Stegostoma tigrinum: one gene and its partners. The protein of the gene in region 1 purifies or fractionates together with the protein of each later gene. This does not show direct contact. Links are inferred from orthologs where the notes say so. Each region holds a gene or a part of one and is shown in the gene's direction. Other genes may lie near its edges. The genes, in order: csnk2a2b, prrc2c, gramd1ba and osbpl8.

What was found.
Region 2: the proteins of csnk2a2b (region 1) and prrc2c purify together in Homo sapiens (affinity purification with mass spectrometry; 3 studies listed by BioGRID and IntAct, with this or other methods). This does not show direct contact. The link is inferred for Stegostoma tigrinum from reciprocal best matches to the Homo sapiens genes CSNK2A2 and PRRC2C.
Region 3: the proteins of csnk2a2b (region 1) and gramd1ba purify together in Homo sapiens (affinity purification with mass spectrometry; 3 studies listed by BioGRID and IntAct, with this or other methods). This does not show direct contact. The link is inferred for Stegostoma tigrinum from reciprocal best matches to the Homo sapiens genes CSNK2A2 and GRAMD1B.
Region 4: the proteins of csnk2a2b (region 1) and osbpl8 purify together in Homo sapiens (affinity purification with mass spectrometry; 4 studies listed by BioGRID and IntAct, with this or other methods). This does not show direct contact. The link is inferred for Stegostoma tigrinum from reciprocal best matches to the Homo sapiens genes CSNK2A2 and OSBPL8.

What each region holds. Positions count from the first base shown.
Region 1 is NC_081369.1:10,833,294-10,840,783, reverse strand, and holds the start of csnk2a2b (casein kinase II subunit alpha'), read left to right. Parts: upstream 1-4,488; 5' UTR 4,489-4,920; coding exon 4,921-5,024; intron 5,025-7,490.
Region 2 is NC_081361.1:32,347,114-32,353,981, reverse strand, and holds the start of prrc2c (protein PRRC2C), read left to right. Parts: upstream 1-3,850; 5' UTR 3,851-4,089; intron 4,090-6,868. UniProt on the Homo sapiens protein: Required for efficient formation of stress granules.
Region 3 is NC_081385.1:21,887,410-21,895,119, forward strand, and holds the start of gramd1ba (protein Aster-B), read left to right. Parts: upstream 1-4,705; 5' UTR 4,706-4,813; intron 4,814-7,710. UniProt on the Homo sapiens protein: Cholesterol transporter that mediates non-vesicular transport of cholesterol from the plasma membrane (PM) to the endoplasmic reticulum (ER).
Region 4 is NC_081371.1:62,915,492-62,922,786, forward strand, and holds the start of osbpl8 (oxysterol-binding protein-related protein 8), read left to right. Parts: upstream 1-4,279; 5' UTR 4,280-4,386; exon of another isoform or gene 4,387-4,394; intron 4,395-7,295. UniProt on the Homo sapiens protein: Lipid transporter involved in lipid countertransport between the endoplasmic reticulum and the plasma membrane: specifically exchanges phosphatidylserine with phosphatidylinositol 4-phosphate (PI4P), delivering phosphatidylserine to the plasma membrane in exchange for PI4P, which is degraded by the SAC1/SACM1L phosphatase in the endoplasmic reticulum.

The sequences.
Region 1 (7,490 bases):
GACGTTTTGTCACCATGCTAGGCGACATCATCAGTGTATCAGTGCTCCACTATGATGTCACCTAGCATGGTGACAAAACGTATGAAAGAGAACAAACCAGCTCAGTGAGCAAGTCAACAACCTCATCTACAACCCAAGCTACAGATGTTTGCCAAAACATTAATGGAACCAACTAAAGGACAAAATGTAACTCAGTTAAGAAGGATGACAAATTTAATTGAAAAACTCATTGCAGTGATTTTTGAACAAAATAAGTGGGAATTAAAATAAATTAAGTAAAACTTGCATTAATGTAACATCTTTCACAGACTCTAGACATTGAGTAATTTACAGGCAAGGAAACACATTTATGTGGTCAATGATGTAATTATGAAAAGTGGGAGTCATTTTTTTATGGAGCAACGAAATGACCAGATCATCTGTTCTGGCTGTTACTTGATGGTTCAGGGTTTGCCAGGACTGAGAGAACTCTGCGTTTTATTTCTTTGAATAATGCCATGGCACTTTTACAGTCACCTGAGAGGTGCTGAAGGCTCTGATTCCAGAAGCAGGATTTGAATCCATAAACTTGTGAGTCGGTCGGAAGTGTGACCACTGCACCAGGGCTCACACCTTAATATTTACATGAAATTAAAATGTGTGCTTTATGTATTGTAAAGAAATGCTTCTCAAGATCTGTTCCACTCTGACCCACCATTTGCCGCTTCAAAATCAGTCTGACCCAGTATGCCAATAAAAATTTTAAAAAGGTTTGTAATATTTGTGTTGTTACAATGTTACATATTTTACAAAGAAAATTAATCGAACTTTAAAATACATGCAAAGAATCTTACAAGATGGTTCTCAGAAGTGACGTGACCGCCTTTGTGAACTCAGTGGTGTTGAGACCAGACCATACTATACAGTACTTATGTCAAGAAGAAATTGACCAGACATTTTGAAGCCCAGCAGATATTTCCAACAGTAACTAGAAAGTCTTTGGCAGTGGTTTCCCTGAAGTTGTGAATAGCTGTGCTTATCTCTCCAAAAGACTACAGAATAAGAACCATCCAAGCAAATGGCTAAAGCAGTTAAGAAAAAATACCTAACTAAAATATAATGAATGGGTTTGTGCCTAAGATAATTCAATACAGAGACAAAATTCAACAGTTTTGGGATAGCAGCTATTTTAAGTTTTGAACTGTATAGAAGTCTGATTGTGAACAACCATTTCATGCAGAAGAGGAGAAGGGGTTAACATTTCTACACTAGTTATTAAAGACCCAGGTTACTGATCTTTGGTCAGGGGTTTGAATCCCACCTCAGCAAGTGGTGGAATTTAAATTCAATTTATAATGGAATTGAAACCAGTTTCAATGATGTTGCAGAAGCACAGTTGGTTCACTTGTCTTTTGGGAAAGCTGGCTCTAAATATGTCTCCTCAGCTACAGCAATGTGGTTGTCTCTTAACTGCCCACTGAAGTGAGCCTCCCAATTCATTCAGTTCAAGGGCAATTAGAGATGGGCAGAAAATGCTGGCTTTGTTCCACAAAATGTTTGTTTTAAAAATGTGAGAAACGTTTTAAAGCAGTAACTGCTTTTCAAGCAGGAGACAGAAGAAAGTTTCCAGATTTGCTGCACTGAACCAGACTACCGATAGTCAGAACAGGTACTGCTGTAAAAATGAAAGTAAGGAGCCTGCGCTCACTTCCAAAACACTTCTGCTTAGTTTACTGTGGCAGCTGTTTGACTACATTGCACCCAAGTTTTCAAACCCTTCAGGTCAGAAAGAGAATCTTCAAGCAAGCCAGGCCTGCTTCATAGTAGACACTGATATCAATTTCATCTTCATTTGTGACATTCATCCTCACTTACTTTAAATCTTTGAATCTGTATTTTAACAAATAATTTGATAGGTGTTTACTTGAATAAATTTCAACAATTGTTTTCTGATAATGTGTACAATATATTTTTGTATTTTGGAAATTTTTCTTTTTAAATTAGAGGTAATATAGATTTTGGTTTCAGTGCTGTGAAGGTAATTTTTTGAAAGAGATCAGAAAATAATTTGTGACATTGAAGTAAATACATGATTTATAAGAAAGCAGATGACTTAGTAAGTGCCTGTCAGGGTAGCCAGGGTGTTAATTTATTGAATGCTTCCCAAGTGGAATTTTTATCACATACAGAGGAAACAGTACAGGACCGTTAGCTTTTTTTGAATTCAGTTCACAATCAGGTTTCAGTTCAGTAGGGCAGTTTCAAACCAGCAGCGATATTTCAGTTTGTGAAGTTTTCAAACTTAGAGTTGTGTGGAATTTTTCACGCTATCGGAATTGAGAAGTGGTTTATGCTAATAGAGCTAGAAATAAGTCCCTTATCAATCACAACTGGAAAGATTCGGCTAAGTAAGACATTGCAGCATTAAAAGTATTAGAAACTCTTTAGTAGGATTCTTTTCTCATTCATTGCACATGGGCATTGCTGTTTGACCAGCATTTATTACCTGTCCCTAGTTGCCCTTGAGAATGTGGCGGTGAGCTGCATTCTCAAACTGCTGCAGTCCATTACTGTAGGGAGGGACTTCCAGGATTTTGACCCAATGACAGTAAAGGAACAGCGATATGAGGCTGCCTTGGGAGACAAGGGAGGAAATCATAGACCCTAACCCAAATTTTTAATTCTTCTCTAGCCAAAGGAGGGGTGCGAGAGGACTGAAGGACAGCTAATGTGGTTCCACTTTACAAGTGGAAAGGATAAATCAGGAAATTATAGACCAGCGAGTCTCAAATCAGTGGCCTGGAAACTATTGCAGAAGGTCGTGAAGGAGAGAATCAATCTCCATTTAGAGTTGCAAGGATTCATCAGGGTTAGACTGCAAAGTGTTGTCAGAGGGATTCTAACAAATCTGGTTGAATTTTTTGAGGTGATGAAGTGTGCAGATGTGTGCAGTAGAATTGATATAGTTTGTCTGGATTTCAGCAAAGATCCCCCATGGGAGAAACACATGTTAACAGCAGAATAATACAAAGATAAAACCACATGGAATTCAGGGTAGATTGGCAACTTGGATACAAATTTGGTTTAGTAGTAGGAGAGGTTGTTGTCAAAAGTTTATGTGATTGGAGGTTGGTGTCCAGTCGGGCACCATAGGAATGAATGCTGTGGCGCTTATTGGTCATGATTTATATAAATGATGTAGATGAGAATGTGGAGGGAATGATAGGTAAGTTTGATGCAGAGATTGGCCGGATGGTTGTCTGTGAAGAACGATTTTGGGTTATAGGAAAATTTAATGGATTGGTCAGATGGACAGATCGAAAGCAGAAGGAGTTTAGTTAGCTCTGGTAAATGTGAGGTGATGTGTCTCCCCTTGCTGTTTAGCTCCTACTGTGAACTTATGCTGAAGTCGTGGGCTCTACCATAGCAGCAGAAGTTGTTAAGTACGGCTCGTTCCAATTGCATTGACAAGTCTATGCCACTAGATGGAGCTTGGCCAATAGAAACTTCCTCAGGTGAAGGTAGTGCTATAGTAGAGAGAGCAAGAACTGCAGATGCCGGGAGTCGGAGACAGCCCAGTGTGGAGCTAGAGTCAGGCTAGGCAGCATCAGAAGAGTCGTACTTAAACTGGATTTTTCTGCTGTCAAAATGTATGTTGCTTTAAGGTTATTTTATTTGCGTAGGTAGGCACTTAAGAATATGCACCATTTCAACTTAATATTTTAAAATGCCTCATGGTCTTTATGCACCTACAGTCAACGTCCCTAATGTCAAAACATGAAACCGCTTATAGGGTGAAATGCCAGTTGGTGGGTAAATGCGAGACAACAAGATGTAGAGTTGGATAAACACAGTAGGCCAAGCAGCATCAGAGGAGCAGGAAAGCTGATGTTTCGGGCCTAGACCCTTCTGTTCAGGAAGCTGATGCCTTGCGTAGACTTTACAGGTCCACACAGCAGACGGAAAAAGTCAGAGGGAATGCAACTTACTGTATATATGATATATATTTAGTTTATAATTGTTAATTTAACTTGCAAGTTATTTCATCTAGGAATACGCAGCACCGCATATGCATGGCACAGTATTACAACTTGAACATTATTATCACAAAAGAAGAAATGCAGAAGGAACGTGACTCCAGTTTTATTTCTATCGGTACCAATGATTCACACAAGTTTCAGCAACGTCTCCATATAATCTATGAAAACCTAATATTGGCGGGTGTTACAGTTTGTGGGGATTTTTCTGTCTTAATTCCTTAATCCCTTTGTGCCGCTACCCGTGTATTATTCTGTAAGGCATTAGAGCCTGTGGTAAGCGTGTGGGTCATGTCTCATTAAACAGCGCCAGGTGCCGCAGTCGCTGGAGCGGACAGCCGGCGTCGCTCAGCTTCAGTGGGGTGCCGCGAGGGGTCGCTGCCGCTGGAGTGTGCAGCCGGCATCGCTCAGCTTCAGCTGGGTGCCGCTAGGAGCCGCTGCTGCCGGCGCTCGTCATCCTGTGGCCCTCGGTGTCTTCTCGCTGATAGAGCGAGCTTGTGACCGGTTTCTCAGGGTTGGGTCCGCACCCGGCGGAATATTTTCTTCCGCTGCGGGCCTCCCTCAGGGAAGTCCGGTTCGGTTTTGTTGACTTCGGTCTGTTCTGCTCTGCTGTTTGATCCTCCGTAAGGTTTCTCATAAGCTCGTTGCTGTTGCCCCGACCGTACCCATCTTTTTCGGGATCCGCACTGGGCCTTTCTAATCGACCCCCCGCGCCCCGGGGGAGTTCCCGCTGGCTCCACGAACCCTGCTACTGAAGTTATCCCGGGTGGTGCTGCGTGGGTTGAGGCCGGGCCTGGCTCCCGACTGTCAGTCTGCCCCGTGGCGGTGCGGCTTCTGTGTCCCCCCCGCTGCCCCCTCTTGGGGATTTCGTCCCCTTATCCCAGAGCTGAGCCCTGGCTCTGCCATGCCGGGTCCGGCTACCGGGAGCAGGGCCCGCGTGTATGCCGAAGTAAACAGCCTGAAACCCCGCGAGTACTGGGATTACGAGTCACACGTTCCTGAATGGGGGTAAGAAACACAGTATGTTGTAGCAGTGAGGTTAAAATATGACTTGAATGCATAGACATCTGCCTGTAGGCGGGAATATATAGATGCTTGTTGCGTGGATTAATGAAAATGTATATACCAGAAAAATAGTAAAGTCTTGATGTGTGGAAACCTTGTGTATATGTCTGGCGGATGTTTAAAGGCGTGTATAGAATATGGAAACGTCTAATTCGTATAAAAATGGACTGTAATTGACTTGGTTATACCTAATACGTCTAATTGTTAATTACCCAAGAAATGCTGTGAAAACATGTTCTGTCATGGTATGATTTTTTTTCCAGTCCTGTGTCAATAACCTGCCCCACCTCAAAGTCCGTATCAATCAGCACTAGCTTTTGCAGTCATTAATGGTGTGGAAATGAAAATTAGTTCAGTTGCTAATGACTTTAAGTCATATCCTGAGCCTAAAAGTTCACTATTTAGGTTTCAAACTCTTGTCTGAGAAATTTGGAAGACTATTTCATTTCATGAAATTTTCCTAAATGGTAAACTTAATATTGTTGCCTGTTTTACTGCTAATTTAGTTCATTGAGGTATTGGAGATTAGATCTGTCACTGGGACTAAGAACCTTTTCATGGTTAGAGATGGCAGGAACTGCAGATGCTGAAGAATCTGAGATAACAAGGTGTAGAGCTGGATGAACACAGCAGGTCAAGCAACATCAGAGGAGCAGGAAAGCTGATGTTTTGGGCCTTGACCCTTTTCTGAAGACATCAGCTTTCCTGCTCCTCTGCTTGGCAATCTGTGTTCATTCAGCCGTACACCTTGTTATCTCTCCATCTTTTCATGGTGTCTATTTAACATAGGAGCTAATAATGTGATAAGCAGCAGAAAGCTTGCATGTGCCTAGGTGGTTAAAGTGTTTTTAATGTTTTTATAAACCTGTTCAATTGTACTATGATACACCTCTGGAGTAGGTAGAATTTCAACATGGGTCTTCTGGTTCAGAGGTGGGGAGGCTGAGCCACAGGAGTCCTATTAAGATGTTTTATATTTGTCGTCTTGTTAATTTCTGCCTAAATACTTGGCCTGCAGTAAATATGACACATCCTAACTTTGAAAAGCTGTACCCTCCATGTTCTGTAAGTCGAAACAACTGAGTGTGTTTCTGAAAGATAGTGTGTTTGGAGGTTTAACATGGCGAATGATTACTTTCTGGTGATAGGTATCTGCTATACATAGCAAAAAAACAAGTCACCAATGCCTGATAACATTTATTTCCCATTAACAGTTTTTTTGTGTTGAAGGTTTGCTTTTAGTGTTGAACGTTTACTGAAATAGACTGTTCTTGTCATGGTTTCACTTGCCATAATGTTGACAGTTAAAGGCTCGGTTAAAACGCTCGTTCGAATGAGGGTTGAATGCGGTCTAGTGGTACAATCCAAAAGTATCCAGTGTTTGGGGATGTCTAGTGAGGAGTTTATTGTTGAGATTTGTTTCACCCATGCTTTAAGCCCAAGACCCAGACACATTTCCAGAGGTGAATCAGAGATTGGTGATTCTTAGGTGGTCAAAAGGTTGCATCCAATTTCAATGAAGCTCAGCTTGGTTCTCAATAGCCTTCGCTACTATTTATGTGCCTTTGGAACATGATGCACCTTGGCCCAGTAACTGTGTGTATGCAAAATAGTTTCTCATCCAAATTCTCTGGCATCAATTTATGTTGTGATATACAGATATTAACTTGACATAGCAACTTCAGAATTGATTTGTATTGGTAGATACATAGAGTTTCTCGACTGTGCAAATAACTACTGAGGATCCATAAATATTTTAATATAATGTTCTTACTGAAAGTTGCCAAAACTAAAGTGAGAATATTTGAAAATTGAATATTTGACTGAGGACTTGTTTAAAATGCTTTGACGAGAGAAGGGAATCAAGACTCTTAGTAAATGGTGGGATGGGTGATGGGAAAGAAAATTGAGAAAATCTTGTAAAATGTAAAGAGCAATTACTGTTAAGCAGATAACAAAAAAAAACATAGAATGAAGTTCCATGCACTAAGACTGCAGCTGAGCTTTTCCCGCAATGTGTTGTGTTGCTTTCTCATCCAGTCTAGTTGGTGTTTTCCAGTTAAACACTTGGGAAACCTAAAATACCACCTCAGGCTTTCAACAAAAGTACTGTGTCCTCCCCTCTAACTCCATAACATTTCCAGTGCAACTTTGATTTCCAGATTTGTCACGAGCTGACGAGCAGATTCTTTATTGTTGCTCCCAAAGACTATTGACTTACACCTCAAAAAAAATTATGTACACCTAATTACGCCTTAGTCATGACTGACTTAGTGCTCCACTCCTCATTGCCTGGCACTCCATTCCCCATAAAACAGAACTGTTTTCGTCCTCCCACCTTAACCTGTAGCAAATGTTGATCCTGACTTACGTTGGCTCTTCATCCCTTAACACCTTGTTATTTCTGAA
Region 2 (6,868 bases), on another chromosome or scaffold:
ACATTTTTCAGGATGTCACTATTTCCTCATGTTATCTAGCTTCCATATCCTTCACCACAGCAAACACTGACGCAAAATACTCATTTAGTATCTCACCCATCTCCTGTGGTTCCACATACTGGTGGCTTTCATGATCTTTAAGATGCGCTATTCTCTCTCTAATTACTCTTTTGGCCTTAACGTAATTGTAGAATCTCTTTGGATTCTCCTTAACCTTATTTGCCACACTATCTTATGTCCCCTTTTTGTCCTCTTGATTTCCCTCTTAAGGATACTTGTACTGCATTTATACTCTTCTAGAGAATCACTCGATTTCCACTGTCTATACCTGATATAAGCTTCCTTCTTATTCTTGAGCAAAACCTCAATTTCTGTCGTCATCCAGCATTCCCTACACCTACCAGCCTTGCCTTTCACCCTACCAGGAACATACTGTCTCTGGACTCTCATTATCTCATTTTTGAAGGCTTCCCATTTTCCACCAGTCCCTTTACCTGCGAACATCTACCCCCAATCAACTTTTGAAAGTTCTTGTCCAATACCATCAAAATTGGCCTTCCTCCAATCACTATTTTAAAGCCAATAGAGTTATGGTCATTGGTCACAAAGTACTCCCCATCTAACACTTCAGTCAACTGTCTTGCCTTATTTCCCAACAGTAGGGCAAGTTTTTCACCTTCTCTTGTATGTATATCTACATTCTGAATAAGAACATTTTCTTGTACAGACTTAACAAACTCATTTCCATTCAAGCCCTTAACACTATGGCAATCCCAGTTTATGTTTGGAAAGTTAAAATCCCCTACAATAATCAACTTTTATTCTTACAGATAATTGAGATTTCCTTACAAATTTGTTTCTCAATTTCACACTGACTATTGGGTGGTCTTTAGTACAATCCCAATAAGGTGATCATCCCTTTTTTATTTCTGAGTTCTTCCCAAATAGCCTCCCTGGATGTATTCCCAGGAATATCCTCCCTAAATACAGCCATTATGGATCCCACTCTTGCCCACCTTTCAATCCTTCCTCTAGCATCTATATCCTGGACCATTAAGTTGCCAGTCCTGTCCATCCCTGAGCTACGTCTCTGTAATTGCTATGATATCCCAGTCCTATGATCTGAGATCATCTGCCTTACCTGTTGCTTTGAAATAAATGCAATTTAATACAGCAGTCATACCTCAATTTCTACTTTGTTCCTGTCTGCCTTGTCTGTTTGACTATTCTTTTCCCCAACTGTATCAGTCTCAGGCTAATCACATTTCTGACTATCTGCTTGGGTCACCGCTGCCCTCCTCCCCAACTCCCTTTCCACACCCAACACCCCACTCCCTTCACTAGTTTAAATCCTCCCAAGGAGCTCTACCTAATCTCCCAACAGTATATTAGTCGTCTTCAAATTCAGATGCAACCTGTCCTTACTATACAGATCACTTCTACCCCGAAGAGATTCCAATTATCCAAAAATGTGAATCCTTCTCCCCTGCACCAGCTCTCAGCCACCATTCATCTGTTTAATCCTCTTATTCCTACCCTCACTAGCTTGAGGCACTGGGACAAATCCAGATATTACCGCCCTTAAGGACCAGCTTTTAAATTCCTGCCTAACTTCCTGCATTCTCTCCTCAGAATCTCATCCTTTTCACTTCCTACATCGTTAATTCCAATGTGTACAACGACCTCCTAGTGGTCCTTCTCCCTTTTGAGAATATTCTGCACTCTCTCTGACATATCTTTGATCTTGGCTCCAGGGAGGGAACACACCATTTTGATGTCTCACTGTCAGCCGCAGAATAGTTTGTCTGTGCCTCTAATTGGAGAGCCCCCTATCACAATCGATTGCATGGAACCTGGCATAGCCCTTGTTACATTAGAGGCAGTCCCAGTACCAGAAACTTGGCTGTCAGTGCTGCATTCCCTTGAGTGTCCATCACACCCTACATTTTCCAAAACAGCATAGTTGTTTGAGATGGAAATAGCCACAGGTGACTCCTATACTACCTGCCTCCCTCTCGTACCTTTCCTGGAGGTCACCCATCTACCTAAGTGTACCTTTGATTTATCTCCCTCCCTGCACCTGCCATCCAACACACCCCTAGCTCTTGGAAATTCCTCATTGCCTCTAACTGCTGCTCCAACCAATCCATTAGAACCAAACACACTTCCTGCAGACGTAATCATTAGTAACATGGAAACTCTCCCTAACGTCCCAACAGGAGGAGCACATCACTTTACTGAAGGCCATTTTTGCATTGTAACAATCTACGGATCCAGAAAAGAGCACAGACTTACTGCTCTAGAAATACTGTTCCAGGTTAGCTTAGTACCTATGTTTTTATACTTTAAAAGTTTAATCAAGAGACATTTCTCAATAACACATATAACTAATAAACATTACTCTACCCACTATTGTAGATTTACAAAACCAGTAAGGTTACACTTTAAAAAGCCACTTAGCTGCTCCCCTGCTGTGAGCTCCCACACACAAGCTGAAGCGTCCTTTGGAATTCAGAAGGGTCAGAGGTGACTTAGCTAAAACACGTAAGACTGGATGGACATTCAAAGGATGTTTGCTCTTGGGGGAGAATCTAGTGCTTGGGGTCACAGTTTAAAAATAAGAGGGCGCACATTTAAAACAGAGATGAGGAAACACCTTTTTCTTCAAGGGTTGTGTGATTTGGAATTCCCTTCCTCAAAAGGCAATGGATGCAGAATCTTTAAATATCTTTAAGGAGGAAGTAATTTGATTTTCAATTATCAAGGCGATGAAAGATTATTGGAGATATGCAGGAATGTACAGCTAAGATTAAGATCAGATCAGCTATGATCTTATTGAATGGCAGAGCAGTATCCTAGTCCGAATGATCCACTCTCCTTCCGTGTTCATGTTTGTATGTAATTTCAATGGAAGATTTCCAAACTGAAAGGTTAACTCTCTCAAAAGATTCTGCACTGACCTGCTGACCATTTCTGTCATTTTCTGTTATTTCAGATTTCTGGCCTCTGCACTTTTTTTCCTTTGAATATTGGACCTTGCTTTTAAAAAGAGTCTAAACAATAAAGATCATGTAAAAGTGGTAGTCCAATTGCAAACCAATCAGCCCTCTCAGCGTTTACGTTGCTTCTTCATTTTTTGAACTTGATCAGTTGCGTGCAAGGCACAGTGTGATTAACAAAGTTCTTCAGCAACATTTAATAAAGAAAATGATCAAAGCAAAATATTTTTTCAGAGATAGCAGTAACTGCAGATACTGGAGAATCTGAGAATAACAAGGTGTCGAGCTGGATGAACACAGCAAGCGAAACAGCATCATAGGAGCAGGAAAGCTGACGTTTCGGGCCTAGACCCTTCACACCTTGTTATCTCAAAGCAAAACATTGTAACTTTCTGCGGAAAGAGACAACGACTGAAAGAAAGAGAGAGAAAATCATTCCTTGTTGGATCTGCATTTGAAACTTCCTCCATCACTGTTGCAAGGACAGGAACAAGAGTGTGATGACGTCATCAGGAGGCCTGCAGTTTGGCATCATCGACTCGGCGTGTTGACGTTTAATTCCGATTGGGAATCGGGTAATTTCCATCCCAACCCATTGTTAAGACCGACGCACAGCGCGCTGACGTTAGAGACCGTCGGGCTGGGGATGCGACGCACGACGCGAATCGCTTCCCCACCCGGCATCGTCAAACTGACGCGCAGCGCGCTGACGTTTGTGCACACCAGCATCTGTAGGGGCGGACGTGATTGGGGGGGGAGGGGGAACGGCGCAGTGACGTCATACGCCCAACCCCCGGGGAGTTCCGACGTACAGCGCGCTGACGTTTCTGCACTGGTCTCTGGCAGGCCGCCATCTTTGCGAGTCGCCGCAGCGGCCGATGTGAAGGAGCGCTTTGTCAGGAGGGGAGGGGGGCTGACTGAGTGACAGCTTCTTCATCGCCAAATCCGGCCCTTCTCAGCACCGGCCTAAGCCACATCCGGCTTCTTCGCCGTCACATTTTTTTTCACGCAGCGCTCTGCCTGTGGGCAAAGGAGAAGAGACAAGAGAGGGACCGATCACCAAAGCGGGACGACCCAGGGTGCGCCGAGTGTAAGTAGGCGAGTGTTTTAGGAAGATGGGGGATGGTGGAAGGTGCCGGGCGCTAGGCCTGATAGCCAGCTCTTTGCCTCCCCACGGCGATCTCTTACCCTATCCGCACTGCACTGCACTCTTTCTCTCCCCCCCCACCCCCCCGCCTTGTTCGCCGTGTTGTTTCCCCCGGGGCTGTGCTTTACCGGCGGCGAGGGTGCGGGCGGAAGAGAAGGCCCGGCGGCTGCCGCACTGCAGCTTTGTGTCTCCAGGCCTGCTTTGTCCCAGCCCCGTCGGCCGCTTCGTTCCGACTCCACGCCGAGGCCTGTTTCGCTTTCCGCGGGGACCCCATGCCTTTGTTCCCGACGTGTCTGTTTTCTTCTGCGCGTTCGTTTTTTTTTCCACCCAGCTTCCCGCAAAAACATCTGGGCTGGTAAATCCGAAGGGGGCATTTCAGATTACATAATCTGCGAGGTGAAAGCAGGGAGAAGGATTTCCTTTCTTCCTTTCTGTTTCGTTCCTTTTCCTACACTACCTACCTGCCAACCCCCCCCCCCCCACCAAACAAGACTGCAGCAATGCAGCAGAGTTTGGAATTGATTTTAATAATGAGTTTTATAATCCGTATCTCGATGAGAGACTTCGGTTGCTATTTAGCGAACCTCTCAGTTTTATCGTTCTCGTCCATTTGAGGATGCCTTTGTCCCTGAGGAAAGGTATAATTACGGAAGAGGAAGCGTGATTATGTTGGGCCTTCTCAGAAGGATGCAGCGTGCATATATATGGTTGTTAATTTTAGTACGCGTTGGATGAGCAAGTTGTGCTTTATAACCGCATGAGTAAGCGGATATGGCTTCCTTTTTCAAAACAAAACCGGGGTGGGGGGGGCATAGTCGGTCTTGATATTCGGTTTCGCATCGATGGTTGCTATTAATTTTTCCAGTGACCACTGTTTTAAGATATTGCATAACATGATTGTGCTGTACTTCACAGTAATTACCAATGTCTTCCAATCAAAGGGAAAGTACAAAAATATATTTGTGTGAGTGGGCATATAAACATTTTAGATCATTAGTTTATGTTGAAAACAAAAGCCCATCTTTGAATTTTTGGTGCTTTGACAGCCCTGAAAAATCACCAAAAAATCTAGCCTTCAGAACTTTAGTTTGTATTGCTTCATATTTTTATCACCACAATGGATATGATTGTTATCCGATTTAAGAAGGGTTCATTCTTTAGTCGAATGTCTGTATCTATTTTTTTGGAAGAAATGTTGGTTTCTGTATACTCCTGGGCTAATCACAGGGAGGACAGCTCAGGATTTCCTTCTGATTTCTGCTCATTAACTACTGTTGAAAATTATGTAACTGAGCATCGGATGAGTAGAGAATTGGACACCATTGTGGTGTTTTCTTGGTTGAGTGGCTTCACTGTCTAGGGGCACAATTGAAGCAATTCATTGCATCACGTCTTTTAAAGGCTCTGTTATGGAGCTATCAATGGTAATTCCATTTTTAAGTTCCTTGCCAACGGTGTTTAGTATCTACTGACAGTTTAATTTCTTCTTTTTAAATCATTGTTTCAGTATCTGCTTGTCTGGTAAAACCTTGTGTCCTAACAGTTACCCCTGGAGAAAATCATAACCTCAGCCTCTCTCTTCTAGAACAAATCTGGAATGATGGAATCTTGTGCTGACTGAAGAAATGTTATGATTTTAAACACTTAGATAGGATAATGCTAAAGGATGTACCTGTACAGTTCTTTGCAAGAATTATCTCTTGCTGTTCCCAGGCAGCCCTGCAAACATTTTCCTTTTTTGAGTCTTTATATGATTCTCTTTTAAAAGCTGTGTAACTTCAGTTAGATGTTTTTGCCCATACCTCCTGCAAACACAACTTAAATTTCCTTAGGTACTTGTGGCACACCCAATCTAAACATCGTTTCCAGAATAAGTTGCTGAAAACCACAGCCTGGCCAATGTATTTGTTATCATTCTCTTGCCTTCGATATTGAATACACAAATCTGAAATCTCTTTTGTCTTTATTTACTTTCTATCTGCAAACTTGTTTTAAAGATCATGTGTACCCATTTATCATCTTTTACTCAGTTTCAATGATGATCCTTTTCCCATTAATTAGTACTTTTTGTCATCTCTCCATGCTGTCCATCTGTCATGCCTATAAATTTATATGGAGGGCAGCCTGACACGGCCGTCAGGGGTGATGACATTGGCTTCATTTTCCCAGTTACAGAAATATTCATTTAACTTTGCCCAGAACTATCCCTCAAACAACGCTAATGCTTTACCCTTCTGCCTTTGATACCCTTGCACGACTGTAGGAATCATAGTCTTCAGAACCAACAGCACGTAGGTTCAGTGATAGTAGAAACTGCTGATGCTGGAGTCTGAGATAACCAGGTGTTGAGCTGGGTGAACACAGCAGGCCACGCAGCATCAGAGGAGCAGGAAAGCTGATGTTTCGGGTCTGGATCCTTCCTCCTGAAGAAGGGTCCAGACCCAAAACGTCAGCTTTCTTGCCCTTCTAATGCTGCCTGGCCTGCTGTGTTGATCAGGTCTACACCTTGTTGTAGATAGGGTGATTAGTTTACAATGACAGTGGGATCAAGCTTTGTTTTTGATTGGAGAGGTTGCAGTGGATTTTCAGGGGTGAGAGACAGAATTTTAGAGAACACCATTAACGTGTACTTGGGAGGAGGGAAAGCTGTGTGATCAGTTTAGTGAGAATAGGTTGAAAGCAACGAGAGGCTGGTTACTGATGTGAGCTCAGGCAGGTAAGA
Region 3 (7,710 bases), on another chromosome or scaffold:
ATATCCTAATGTTATGATGGAAATTGGAGGAGTGCACCGTTTTTCTCTTGTCCCACCACTTTGTTGATATATCCAGTTGTTTGTTTTCTCCTCATTAGTCTTAAAAGGGATCAACTAGGTTGCTTAAATGAGCATAACATTACTAAACAATACTGATTCAATGAAAATGCAAAACTGGTTAATGCACTTAATTTATGACAAAGTAGTTTAAATGTTTACTTCTCTAAATAATTCAAAACACACACGGGGAAAGGGGAAATACTCGATTTTCTATTGTTGAAAATTGCCCTTTAGTTTGGCAATAAATTTTAGTCCTTGAAGGTTTTAAAAAAAAGCATCAGGGTTTGTGCAGCTAGGTATCACCAAACACAGACAGCTGTCTCTGGGATTTTTTGCAGATGTAGCTTGCCGTAGAAACACGGTATCCAGAAGTATTCCAGTCACTCGAAGGATAATCAGGTTTTATACTGGATATGCCAAGCTGAATAAAAGACAAAAATAAAATTAGTCGTTGGTATCATTGGCTTGCTTGAAGATTTCTCTTTGAGGTGATTGCATTGAAAACCCTAAGTCAGAAGTCAGCACCTGCATTGCTTTCTGTCATCAAATAGTTGAATTCTCCTCCCACAAGTGGACTAAGCAGAGCAAATTCTGGGAAGCTGAACAGTTAGTTCTGAGCAGGTCTTCCTGAACTGAAAAAGAAAATTATCTCTTGCCTACAAAACACTGTTCAATGGGAGCTAAATACGCAGCCAGTCAACAAGCTCCCAGTTGGAAATAGAGGGGAGAGGGAACGATTTCTGCGCTGATATCCTTGTTTCACGGACAGCACAGACTACCTATTTCCACTGTGGGGAATCAGAACCTATTGAATTGCATGAGCTCAACGTCAACCACAATGGGAGATATTCAAAATTTGATTAACCCTTAGACAACAGGAAGGGCCCTTATGAAGATATGAAAATTCAAATCTCTTAAGAGACCAGGAAACTAGAAGGACACCACAACCTCTTTGCCTTGGAGAACAATGTCTCATTTGAAATTAGCATCATAGCTGTTTTATTTTGGTGAGACAAGTGGCATGCCACCATTTTGAGCAGAACTCCAGGAAGAATCCTGAGAGATATCATCAAATAGTGCATCAGTAGGGAGACATCAGAAGGTAAACCAGCCACATGGCTGCTGTACTGAATCAGATGATCAAGGCCCAGACACAGGGCCATAAAAGTGAAATAAAGGAAGCTTCACTCCTTCCCAGAATTTGTTCTGCTTAGTCCACTTGTGGGAGGAGAATTCAACTATTTGACTACAGAAAGCAATGCAAGTGCTGACTTCTGACTTGGGGTTTTCAATGCAATCACCTCAAAAAGAGAAATCTTCAAGCAAGCCAATGATACCGAAGATTACTTTTATTTGTGCCTTTTATCCGTACTTACACTTAATATTTGTATTTCTATTTAAGCTAATAACCATTACATTAGAGTTAATAGAATTCATCAACAGTTCAATGATAAAATAACCTTTACCTTGTTTAAAAAATACCCTGAAGTGAGTTCAGGCAAATTATGTTTGCTAGTATATGACACTATGTAATTTCCAAGAAATGTCCTTGCTTAAAAAGGTGTAATGCTTTTCATTAGCCTTTCTGAAAAAAAAAATCCAGGTATGCAAAATCCTTCAGCCTTAAGTCCACAAAATTTGTTTAAGTCATGTTGATGTTTGTGAAGCTCAATGAGTGAAATGTTGTCATTCTCATATTGTCTATGTTCTTATGTATTGAGACGGTCTGTGCAACGAGACTTGGTTGTCTTTGTAGGCCAGTCACCGAAGATAAACTTTCAGGAGGTCAAGAAGACAAATGGTATCTTGGCCTTTGTAGTGAGAGAAATTAAATACAAGAGCAGGGATGTCTTGCAATAATACAGGGCTTTGGTGAAACCACATCTGGAATATTGTGTGCAGTTTTAGTCTGTTTGTTGGAAGAAGGGTATTCTTGCTATAGAGAGAATACAGCCAGTGTTAACCAGATCGATTCCTGGGTTGGCAGGACTGACATATGAGGAGAGGTCGAACCAGTTAGGATTATATTTGCTGGAGTTCACGTGAATGAGGAAATCTCATAGAAACATAAAATTCTAACAGGAAAGGACAGGGTAGTTGCAGGAAGGTTGTTTTCTACTTTGTGATAGACCAGAACCGGAGGCCACAGTCTAAGGATACTAGGAAGGCGCAAAATGGTGAGCCTGTGGAATTGGCTACCACAAAACATGGTCATGGTCAAAACATTGTATGATTTCAAAGAGCTGGGTATCGCACTTGAGAATAAGGTATCAAGGGAATGGCAAAAGCAGGAACAAGCCAGGTAATTGTGTAGTTTTGGTGGTACAGACTCAATGGACTGACGGGCCTCTTCTATACTGTGTGATTCAATGAATCAATAAGATCTCCCCTTCCCCCACCGCATCCCAAAACCAGCCCAGTTCGTCCCTTCCCCCCACTGCACCACACAACCAGCCCTGCTCTTCCCCTCCACCCACTGCATCCCAAAACCAGTCCAACCTGTCTCTGCTTCCTTAACCTGTTCTTCCTCTCACCCATCCCTTCCTCCCACCCCAAGCCGCACCTCCATCTCCAACGTAGTAACCTCATCCCACCTCCTTGACCTGTCTGTCTTCCCTGGACTGACCTATCCCCTCCCTACCTCCCCACCTATACTCTCCTCTCCACCTATCTTGTTTTCTCTTCATCTTCGGTCCGCCTCCCCCTCTCTCCCTATTTATTCCAGAACCCTCACCCCATCCCCCTCTCTGATGAAGGGTCTAGACCCGAAACATCAGCTTTTGTGCTCCTGAGATGCTGCTGGGCCTGCTGTGCTCATCCAGCCTCACATTTTATTATCTAAGATAGAAAGACTGTTATGTTGGATGATTAATCAAGGAGCAAGTTTGAGGGCCGTTGCCTATCCCTGCTCCTATATTCTCTGTTTCTGTGCACCCATATCTGCGCGCAATCACATAGGGTTGAACAGGAATACCACACAGAAAGGGGACATTTGGCCGAAAAAATTTCATGCTGGATTTATGGTCTACTTGGATCTTCTCCCATCATTCCTCATCTATGATTACGGGTTGTAACCCTTCTCTTCCATTCTCCGTCATATGCTTGTCTAATTCCCCTTCATCGTATCCATATTATTCACTTCAAACACTCTTCGCTAGTAGGTTTTCTATTTTATCACTACTCTTTGGGTGAGGAAGTTTCTTGTGAACTCCCTGTTGGATGCAATGATGAAGCACTGATACATGGTTGACGTAGAAATGCAGGAAATACAGAAGCTGATTTGTGTATGACCAATGTATGATGAAAATGAGCAAGCATTCTCTTTGTGATGTTGTTCATCGGCCAGTGTTACATCTAGTTCTCAGGAAGCGTCACTGGACACGAAATGCTAACTCTGTTTTCTCCTTCACAGATGCTGTCAGATTTGCTGAGTTTTTCCAGCAACTTTGTTTTGTTCCTGATTTACAGCATTGCAGTTCTTTTGGTTCTTATTTGGTACATCCAGAGTTCTTGTTTGAAATAATGTTATTTTATTTTCTGTAAACATCTGAAAGGCTTCAAAAACATTGCAGCAAAAACATTCCTGAACTGGAATGCCAGTATCAATCTATATTCTCAAGTGTTAGATTGGTATTTGACCCATAATTTTCTGACTTTTAGGCAACAGTGCTGCCAGCTGAACCACAGCTGACATAGGTGTACTGATATATCAATGAAATATACAATCTGTTGCCTTTCTGTGGATAGATCAGTCAGGAATTAGTGCACTGACGTAATTGAGATGATTCTTAAAACAAAAGGATACAATTTGTATAACAGATTGATCAGAATCATGATATTTACGATTGTGATAGTGTCCTTTTTAAAGATAAACGTGTGGTTTGGAAGACGAGAACTGTTTTTGTGTTTGTTTTATGTCGCCTTTCATCACTGTTGGATTGTTTGTGAAATTAGATTTGAAGTGACAACACACCAGTGCTTACAATGAAATAATTGGGAATATCGAAAACTCACGCTTTTTATTCTGAGTCCGATAAATAAATGGCATGAAAGGGATCTGTGCCACGATTAGTATGCACTGTCCCTTTCCGCTCTAAAAGATAGGTTGATAGATTACATTAAAACTTCTTGCTTACAATGTAGTAGATATTTTCTTTGAAATTCTAGTTACATACTCTTTACCCTGCTTGCTGATAGGCTGACTGTAGTGGTCTGCTGCATTTTGACTCAGACAATGAGAGATGTACTGTATCCAATAGATCAGTTTAGGTTCTGCCTCAGGTCAGGGGTGATTGGTGCATTGCTGCGACTGATCCTAGTTTCTAACCAGTGGTTGGTAAATAATCCGTCAATCATCATCTCCCGCCTCATTCTTACTCAGCTGGATGAGCCAGTGAATGGAGGCAACTACTATATTGGCGGGGTAGGGGAATTTTCTAGTGATCGATTTCAGCTTCCCAAAAAGCATATAATTTTAACTTTATGTTCATGTTTGCCAAACAAACTACCATATTGCCCCTGCAAACACAAGAATGTAGAATTTTGTTATTGAAAAAGTTAAGCCGCTTGTGTTTAATGAGCCAGAGCGTCCACTTTCACCCCTTTCCCCGAAGCCGGTAAATGTTTGCTGTATTTGACAGGAAATCTAAAACGGTAAGAAAAAAAGACAGCTCGAAAGTAGAGGACTGCTGTCCCCACTTCTGAAACATATAGTGTCAAAGCAAGGCTGTTTCACTTTATGCTTCAAGATAAGGTAAGTGAATGGTATAAAGAGTAGAAAAGTTACTGCAGTTTTGAGTACTTGTCGAATGACAGCTTCACGCTGATAAATTGTGTGTTCACGGAAAGTTACTGCACGCAGGAAGAACAGTTATTCGGGGGAATTAAAATGCCTCTTCCCAAGATCGGATATCCTTCCCTACCTCCGTACGGGATGACCCTGATGTTCTGCCTTCCTTCTGCTGCTGTAAATGGCAGATACTGGGCTTAATTTAATCCGCATTGGCTATCATTGTCACAACATCATCTGGAAGTAATCGCTGTTTTAAATTACATAATTTTTTTTGGGGGGGGGTGAGGGAATGCTTAGCAAAATCGTGAGAGAATTTGAAAGCATCGGTATTGTTCAGGTAACATTTAGAGTTCAAGTATCTTCACAACGACGATGTTGGACCCAGCAATATTACCTTTTGGCATGTTTGGTATCATTGTTCCTAACGGTCCTGAACTTTCTCATAAATTTTAATACTCGGATTTAACATGATAGCTGTTTACTAATTACCAGCATTTTGATACAATTACAGTTCCTAGTATAGTCATCTGATAAAGGAGATAAGGAATACACAGACCCTGGAACAGTGTTGGCAGTTTGACTCCCTCACTTCAACCATTTTGATGTTAGGGTAATACAAAGCTTTTGAAAAAAAGCCTGGTAATGACAAATGCTTGTCACTAGGCCCTAATGAGAATGATTCAGATTTCACTTTTATGGTTTATGGAGTTATCAGACCACCTTAATTAAAATATTGCAATTAAGGGTAGTGCTGAGATATTAAGTTCTGTCTTTCAATACTACAATGTATAAAAGTTAGTTATGTGGAGTCTGTGTTATGAACTTGAAAATTTAAAATGATTGACACACAAAGATTACCTATCATAACAGATTTTTAAAAATAATTACTAATTTGGGACTCACATCTTGTGGGCATTCTATTAGGATAGGAAATTTAGAATTTAAAAATCGGAAACAGATGGCTAATGTTTTGTTAAGTTCAAACTACAAAAGGCAAAAGAATAAAATCTGCAATGAGATATAAAAATAAACTGATGTTGCTTTTCTTTAATTGTTCATTAAGATACCAGGGAAAATCTTTGTGAATAAATTTGAGGTAAGTACACCTATTTCTTGCAGCAGTGGGCCATGACAAAATGGAGACTAGGGACCAAGATTAATCAAATTGTGACCACTTCTCAGCTCCCAGAATATCTTCCATTTGTAATTTGCATCACATATAAATTAGTATATTGCCACTGAGGAAAATCAATATATCGTCGCGTCGTTTTCATTATATTGATTTTCTTCAGATCATGTTTCATCAGTGGTATAGAGAACAATGTCTTGTGTTTTCTGTCTTTGTCTGTAAAATTTTTAAAAACTGTTATCTTCAGAACATTTTACATAATAAGAAAAATCTAGTTTTGTTTTCATAAAGTTTAGGGATGTCAGTTGAAGAAAGCAACATTTTTCGCAATTTGCATCCACAATCCAGCTTAGGTTGTCCAGATCGTGGATAGTGAGGGATTAATGCAGAATGAATTATTGCTACGCCACCCTAGTATAAGATTTAACCTAACCAAAGGAAACTATCATAAATGTAATTGCATGCCATTTTAGATTCTCTCTCAATTCATTCTTGCCCCTACTGAGTCAATAGATTAGACTTCAGTGCCAGTTATGGTCACACCAAATATTGGGCACTTTTATGCAATGGCCATTATAGAGGAGGCCTTCATCCTACCAGCCTAAGCTGCACTGAAATCCAGGTTTTAAGGGAACCCTGGGAGTGTTTACCAGACAGTTCCCAATCATAGCAAATTTTATCAAGATTTCCACCTATTTACTCTTCTAACTTTGTATAGCCTTCAACTGACCTTGCTAGATTTTGCTTTTAAAAAAAATGTCAGTGAGAGCATCTTAAATTTCTGTTTGTTAAGATTTATCCCAAGGATTATATATTGTGCAATTATTTGCTTTGTCAAGGGATCTGTAGGTACAAATTGCTCAATATTGTTCTGATGATGGTAAATACAGGAGTGATTCTCATTTACATGTTTTGTCTGGACTGATGCAGCTGAATTGAGTAAAATGGAACAAGGAAGCAGACTGTAGGGAAAGGTCCCTGTTAACATTTGGGTTTTTGCACTCAAGTGGCTTGATGTTTTCTTGAAGCAGATCGTGTCTTTTATGAACTGAAATCTGGGCTTAAGCATTCTATTATTTTAATTTATATGAAGTTTACAAGCAGAAACAGAACATTTATTGAACCCACCAAGTTAATGTTCATGCTCCATACAAGCCTACTTGACTCAAACCAATTTAAATAGGGCCAATTGCCCATGATTTTTGTTAAATTAACTGTCTTGTGTAGTATTTTCCATTTCCACCATACACTGAACTGCAAAAACAATTCATTGTGTGGTGAAAAATACTACGCAATGAAATTAACCATGCAGTTTAGGCCAGTGATGGGAAATACTATGAAGTAAAAGATACCACATTTTAAGATAAATGCAAAACTATCAATGGGCTGTGGGGAGTTTTTGGTAGTCTTTCACTGCATATTGGCAATCTCTTAGAGTTATAGAGCCACAAAGCACAGAACTGGACACTTTGGTCCAACCAGTCCATGCCAAACAAAATCCCAAACTAAATTAGCCCCACCTGCCTGCTCCTGGCCTATATCCTCTAAATCTTTCATACTTCTGTGCTTATCTAAATGTCCTTTCAACACTGTGATTGTACTCACACCCACCACTCTCTCAGGAAATTCACTCCACATGAGAAGCAGCCTCTGTGTAAAAGAGTTTCCCCTCATGCCTTTTTTGTCTCTTTCCTCTCATCTTAAAAATATGCCCCATTGTCTTGAAACC
Region 4 (7,295 bases), on another chromosome or scaffold:
TGTAGGTGGTCTGATTAGCAAGTTTGCTGATGATACAAAGATTGGTGGAGTAGCTGATAGTGAAGGGGACTGTCAGAGATTGCAGCAGAATGCAGATAGATTGGAGAGTTGGGCAGATAAATGGCAGATGGAGTTCAATCCAGACAAATGCGAGGTGATGCATTTTGCAAGATCTAATTCAAGAATGAACTATACAGTAAAAGGACAAGTCCTGGGGAAAATTGACGTACAGAGAGATCTGGGCGCTCAGGTCCATTGTTCCCTGAAGGTGGCAACGCAGGTCAATAGAGTGGTCAAGAAGGCATACGGCATGCTTTCATTCATCAGACGGAGTATTGAGAACAAGAGTTGGCAGGTCATGTTACAGTTGTATAGGACTTTGGTTTGGCCACATTTAGAGTACTGCGTACAGTTCTGGTTGCCATATTAACAAAAGGATGTGGATGCTTTGGAGAGGGTGCAGAGGAGGTTCACCAGGATGTTGCCTGCTATGGAGGGTGCTAGCTATGAAGAGAGGTTGAGGAGATTAGGATTATTTTCATTAGAAAGACAGAGATTGAGGGGGTCCTGATTGAGGTCTACAAAATCATGAGGGGTACAGACAAGGTGGATAGCAAGAAGCTTTTTCCCAGAGTCGGGGACGCAGTTACTAGGGGTCATGAGTTCAAAGTGAGAGGAGGAAAGTTTAAGGGAGATATGCGTGGAGAGTTCTTTACTCAGAGGTGTTGGGTGCCTGGAACGCGTTGCCAGCGCAGGTGGTAGACGCAGACACGATAATGTCCTTTAAGATGTATCTAGACAGGTACATGGATGGGCAGGGAGCAGAGGGATACAGACTCTTAAAAAATAGATGACAGGTTTAGACAGAGGATCTGGATCGGCGCAGGCTTGAGAGCCGAAGGGCCTGTTCCTGTGCTGTAATTTTCTTTGTTCTTCGACAAGATCCCACGTGGGAGACTGAAAAAAAGATGAAAACTCATAGGATCCAGGGTAACGAGGCTGAGCGTCAGAAGACAGATGTTGAAAGAAAGCTGATTGTGTGACTGGAGGCTTGTGTGTGGTGGAATACCACTGGGATTAGTGCTGGGTCCCTTAAAGTATATATAGATAAATACATGATATAGAAGGAAATGTGTGGAGATGGTTGATAAGTGCGTTTGCAGTTGACAGGAAGATTGGCCGGGTAGCTAACAATGAGGAGGTGGTCTTTCCAGGAAGATGGCCAGAGGGGGCCAATCAATGGTAGATCGAATATAACCTCAAAAATTGTGAGGTGATGCACTATGGAAGAAGTAACAACACGGGAACACTCCATGAATGGCAGGACACTCAGAAACCCAGAGGAACAAAGTGATCTCTTGCAGATCCCTGATGTTGGCAGGACAGGTTAATAGGGGAGTTAAAAATACATAAGGTACATTTGCCTTTGTCAATTGTGGCATAGATTATCACAGCAAGGAGCTTATGTTGAAGCTATACAGGACTTTGGTTAGGTCACAGCTGGAATACTGCGTGCAGTTCTGGTCACCTCACAATCGGAAGGATGAGACTGCATTGGAGGGGGTGCAAAGGCGATTCACCAGGATGTTGCCTGGGATGGAGCATTACAGCGATGAGGAGAATCTGGATAAGCTCAGGTTGTTTTCTTTAATGTCTTCAAGAGATGGTTAAATGTAGCACTTGGGACAAATGGGAACAAAGGTTAAGGAGAGAAAGCAGGATTAGGCTATTGTGTTGGACAATCAACCATGGTTGCGATGAATGGCAGAGCAGGCTCAAAGGGCCGAATGGCCTCCTCCTGCTCCTCTATGTTTCTTTGGAGCAGAGAAGCTGAGAGGGGACCTGACAGGGGTGTAGAAGATTAAAAGGGGCATGGACAGGATGAATAGAAAACAACTGTTCCTGTGGGTTGAAGAGTCAACAACAAAGCAGCATAATTTTAAAGTAAAAGACAAGAGAATTCAGAAGGGATTTGAACAAAAACTTTTTTTCATCCAGAGGATGGTGGGAATCTGGAACTCACTAGCCGTAAGAGTGGTTGAGGCAGAAACCCTCATTGCATTTAGGAAGTGTTAAGGTGTACACTTGCAATGTCAAAGTTTTTCTTTCTTTATTCATTCATGGGATGAGGGTGTTGCTGGCTTGGCAGCATTTATTGCCCATCCCTAGTTTCCCAGGGGGCAGCTGAAAGTCAACCACATTGCAAGGTGCACGTGATACTGGGCAAATTGCTGGAAAATGGGATTGGAAAAAGTGGTTCAGAGATAATGGGAACTGCAGATGCTGGAGAATCCGAGACAACAAAGTGTTGGAGCTGGATGAACACAGCAGGCCAAGCAGCACCTTAGGGGCAGGAAAGCTTGGAGGTGCCCAGGGAGTCCGCAACATTGTCGCCGGACCCCATGAAGTGTCAAGTTTCAAGGAAGTCTTCTGCCGATTACTATGTACTGTCCTCCCTCCGCTGATGAACCAGTGATCTTCCGTTTGAGCAACACCTGGGAGGAAGTACTGAGAGTGGTAAAGGCACTAAAATTGCAGGTGCGGGATATCAATGTCCACCATCTAGATTGGCAACAGTTCTACTTACTGTGCTGGTGGTGTCCCAAAGGATATAGCTGCTCAGCTGGATCTGTCGCAGGTGTTGAAGGAACCAGCACAAGGGAAAATCCAACTTGACCTGATCCTTGCCAATCTGCTGGCTGAAGATGCATTTGTCCAAAGACATTACAAGTAAGAGTGACCATAGAATAGGCCTTGTGGAGATGAAGTCTTGTCTTCATATTGAGAATTCTCTCCAGCATGTTGTGTGGTACTATCACCACACGAAATGGGACAAGCTTCAAACAGATCTAGCAACTGAAGACTGGGCAGCCATGAAGTGGTGTGGATCATCAACAGCATCAGAACTGTACTCACAATCTGAAACCTCATGGCATGGCATATTCCCTAAACAACCATTAACATCAATCCAGAGAATCAACCCTGGTTCAACGGAGACTGCAGGAGGATATGCCAGGAGCAGCACCAGGCATACCTGAAGTATACCTGAAGTATTAGATGACATGTCCATCATGGGCCTCCTGCACTGCCACAATGATGCCACCGAAGGTTGCAGGAACAGCAACTCATATTCCGCCTGGGAACCCTGCAGCCATATGGTATCAATGTGGACTTCACCAGTTTCAAAATCTCCCCTTCCCCAACTGCATCCCTAAACCAGCCCAGTTCGTCCCCTCCCCCCACAGCACCACACAACCAGCCCAGCTCCTCCACTCCACCCACTGCATCCCAAAACCAGTCCAACCTGTCTCCGCCTCCCTAACCTGTTCTTCCTCTCACCCATCCCTTCCTCCCACCCCAAGCCGCACCCCCATCTACCTACTAACCTCATCCCACCTCCTTGACCTGTCCATCTTCCCTGGACTGACCTATCCCCTCCCTACCTCCCCACCTATACTCTCTCCACCTATCTTCTTTTCTCTCCATCTTCGGTCCGCCTCCCCCTCTCTCCCTATTTATTCCAGTTCCCTCACCCCATCCCCCTCTCTGATGAAGTGTCTAGGACCGAAACGTCAGCTTTTGTGCTCCTGAGATGCAGCTTGGCCTGCTGTGTTCATCCAGGCTCGCATTTTGTTGTCTTGGATTCTCCAGCATCTGCAGTTCCCATTATCTCTGATACCTGAAGTATCAACCTGGTAAAGCCATATTGGATTTGAAACACTTCCAATGTAATTTTTTGTTTTATCCTCTGTGACTGCCTTTTTGGTGTCTATCAAGACCAGTATTTGAGGGAATGACACCAGCAGACCGCAACCTCATCCTGACCCCCAAACAGAAGACCGTAAGATCGCAGAGTAGGCCATTTGGCCCATTGAGTCTGTTGTGCTAAACAATCATGACTAATAGGTTTGTCAATTCCATTCTCCTGCCTTGTCCCCGCAATCCTCAATCCCCACACCCTGACATTCTCACCCGACCCGAAAGTCTGCCCCACCCTCACGCCCACCTTCACTCTGTCCCTTTCTCGTCTCCCTCATCTCCGTCTCTCATATATTGTTTTTGACATAATTATTTCTCATGCACCCTCAAACCTCGGATGTCTTTCCCAAACATGTTTCAACAAAATACTAAAGTTAACTCCTTCTGGGGGCGGGAGCTCAAGTGCAACGAAAGCGTGCCTGGGAGGACCATGTCAGGATGGGAAGACCAGGCTGCGTGGATCAAGCTGGGGCAGCGCTTGGGACCAGGCTGCTCAATGGATCGTGAGTGAATGATCTGGAATGGGCGGGGTGCGAGATCAGGCGAAACAAGTAGCTGAAGGAGCAACAGAGCAGAGCTCGAGCCGGATCGGAGCGGCCATGGAGTGAGTGAGAAGTGGACGAGGAGGTGAGAAGGTGAGGAGTTGGAGATAGGAGATAGGGGAGAGAGAGAGATATAGATAGATAGATAGATAGGTAGATAGATAGAGACGGCCGGGCGGGTGAAGAGGGGTACTTATCGACTTAGTGAGGGTCCGGGCCGGGTTTCGAGATCGCAGACAGGGGCACCCAGCCCCCGTCGACACCCCCGGAATTCGGGCCGTTAGTCCCTCCTCCCACCCCCCACCCCCCACCCCCCCGTCCATTGCCCCCCCCACCCCCCACCCCCCACCCCCCCGTCCATTGCCCCCCACACCCCACACCCCCGTCCATTGCCCCCCACACCCACCCACCCGCCCGCCCTCTCCCATTGCCCCCCACACCCACCCACCCGCCCCCCCCTCTCCCATTGCCCCCCACACCCACCCACCCGCCCCCCCCTCTCCCATTGCCCCCCACCCCCCCCTCTCCCATTGCCCCCCACCCCCCACCCCCCCGTCCATTGCCCCCCACACCCCCGTCCATTGCCCCCCACACCCCACACCCCCGTCCATTGCCCCCCACACCCACCCACCCGCCCGCCCTCTCCCATTGCCCCCCACACCCACCCACCCGCCCCCCCCTCTCCCATTGCCCCCCACACCCACCCACCCGCCCCCCCCTCTCCCATTGCCCCCCACACCCACCCACCCGCCCCCCCTCTCCCATTGCCCCCCACACCCACCCGCCCCCCCCTCTCCCATTGCCCCCCACACCCACCCACCCGCCCCCCCTCTCCCATTGCCCCCCACACCCACCCACCCGCCCCCCCTCTCCCATTGCCCCCCACACCCACCCGCCCCCCCCTCTCCCATTGCGCCCCACCCCCATTGCGCCCCACCCCCATTGCGCCCCACGCCCGCCCCCCCTTTTGCGCCCCACGCCCGCCCCGCCCCCCCATTGCGCCCCACGCCCGCCCGCCCCGCCCCCCCATTGCGCCCCACGCCCTCACGCCCGCCCCCCCCATTGCGCCTCACGCCCGCCCGCCCCCCCCATTGCGACCCACGCCCGCCCCCCCCATTGTGCCCCACGCCCGCCCGCCCGCCCCCCCATTGCGCCCCACGCCCGCCCGCCCGCCCCCCCATTGCGCCCCACGCCCGCCCGCCCGCCCCCCCCCCCCATTGCGCCCCACGCCCGCCCGCCCGCCCCCCCCATTGCGCCCCACGCCTGCCCGCCCCCCCCCCATTGCGCCCCACGCCTGCCCGCCCCCCCCATTGCGCCCCACGCCTGCCCCCCCATTGCGCCCCACGCCCACCCGCCCCCCCGCCCCCCCGCCCCCCCATTGCGCCCCACGCCCGCCCGCCCTCCCGCCCCCCCATTGCGCCCCACGCCCACCCGCCCGCCCCCCGATTGCGCCCCACGCCCGCGCGCCCCCCCCTTTGCGCCCCCCCCTTTGCGCCCCCCCCTTTGCGCCCGCCCCCCCATTGCGCGCCCCCCCATTGCGCGCCCCCCCATTGCGCGCCCCCCCCATTGCGCGCCCCCCCCATTGCGCGCCCCCCCCATTGCGCGCCCCCCCCCATTGCGCGCCCCCCCCCATTGCGCCCCCCCCATTGCGCCCCCCCCCCATTGCGCGCCCCCCCCATTGCACCGCCCCCCCATTGCGCCCCCCACCCCATTGCGCCCCACTCCCATTGCGCCCCACGCCCGCCCGCCCCTCTCCCATTGCTCCCCACGCCTGCCCGCCCGCCCCTCTCCCATTGCGCCCCACGCCCGCCCCTCTCCCATTGCGCCCCACGCCCGCCCGCCCGCCCCTCTCCCATTGCGCCCCACGCCCGCCCGCCCGCCCCTCTCCCATTGCGCCCCACGCCCGCCCCTCTCCCATTGCGCCCCACGCCCGCCCGCCCCTCTCCCATTGCGCCCCACGCCCGCCCGCCCGCCCCTCTCCCATTGCGCCCCACGCCCACCCCTCTCCCATTGCGCCCCACGCCCGCCCGCCCGCCCCTCTCCCATTGCGCCCCACGCCCGCCCGCCCCTCTCCCATTGCGCCCCACGCCCGCCCGCCCCTCTCCCATTGCGCCCCACGCCCGCCCGCCCGCCCCTCTCCCATTGCGCCCCACGCCCGCCCGCCCGCCCCTCTCCCATTGCGCCCCACGCCCGCCCGCCCGCCCCTCTCCCATTGCGCCCCACGCCCGCCCGCCCGCCCCTCTCCCATTGCGCCCCACGCCCGCCCGCCCGCCCCCTCTCCCATTGCGCCCCACGCCCGCCCGCCCGCCCCTCTCCCATTGCGCCCCACGCCCGCCCGCCCGCCCCTCTCCCATTGCGCCCCACGCCCGCCCGCCCGCCCCTCTCCCATTGCGCCCCACGCCCGCCCGCCCCTCTCCCATTGCGCCCCACGCCCGCCCGCCCCTCTCCCATTGCGCCCCACGCCCGCCCCTCTCCCATTGCGCCCCACGCCCGCCCCTCTCCCATTGCGCCCCACGCCCGCCCCTCTCCCATTGCGCCCCACGCCCGCCCCTCTCCCATTGCGCCCCACGCCCGCCCCTCTCCCATTGCGCCCCACGCCCGCCCCTCTCCCATTGCGCCCCACGCCCGCCCCTCTCCCATTGCGCCCCACGCCCGCCCCTCTCCCATTGCGCCCCACGCCCGCCCCTCTCCCATTGCGCCCCACGCCCGCCCCTCTCCCATTGCGCCCCACGCCCGCCCCTCTCCCATTGCGCCCCACGCCCGCCCCTCTCCCATTGCGCCCCACGCCCGCCCGCCCCTCTCCCATTGCGCCCCACGCCCGCCCGCCCGCCCCTCTCCCATTGCGCCCCACGCCCGCCCGCCCGCCCCTCTCCCATTGCGCCCCACGCCCGCCCCTCTCCCATTGCGCCCCACGCCCGCCCCTCTCCCATTGCGCCCCACGCCCGCCCCTCTCCCATTGCGCCCCACGCCCGCCCCTCTCCCATTGCGCCCCAC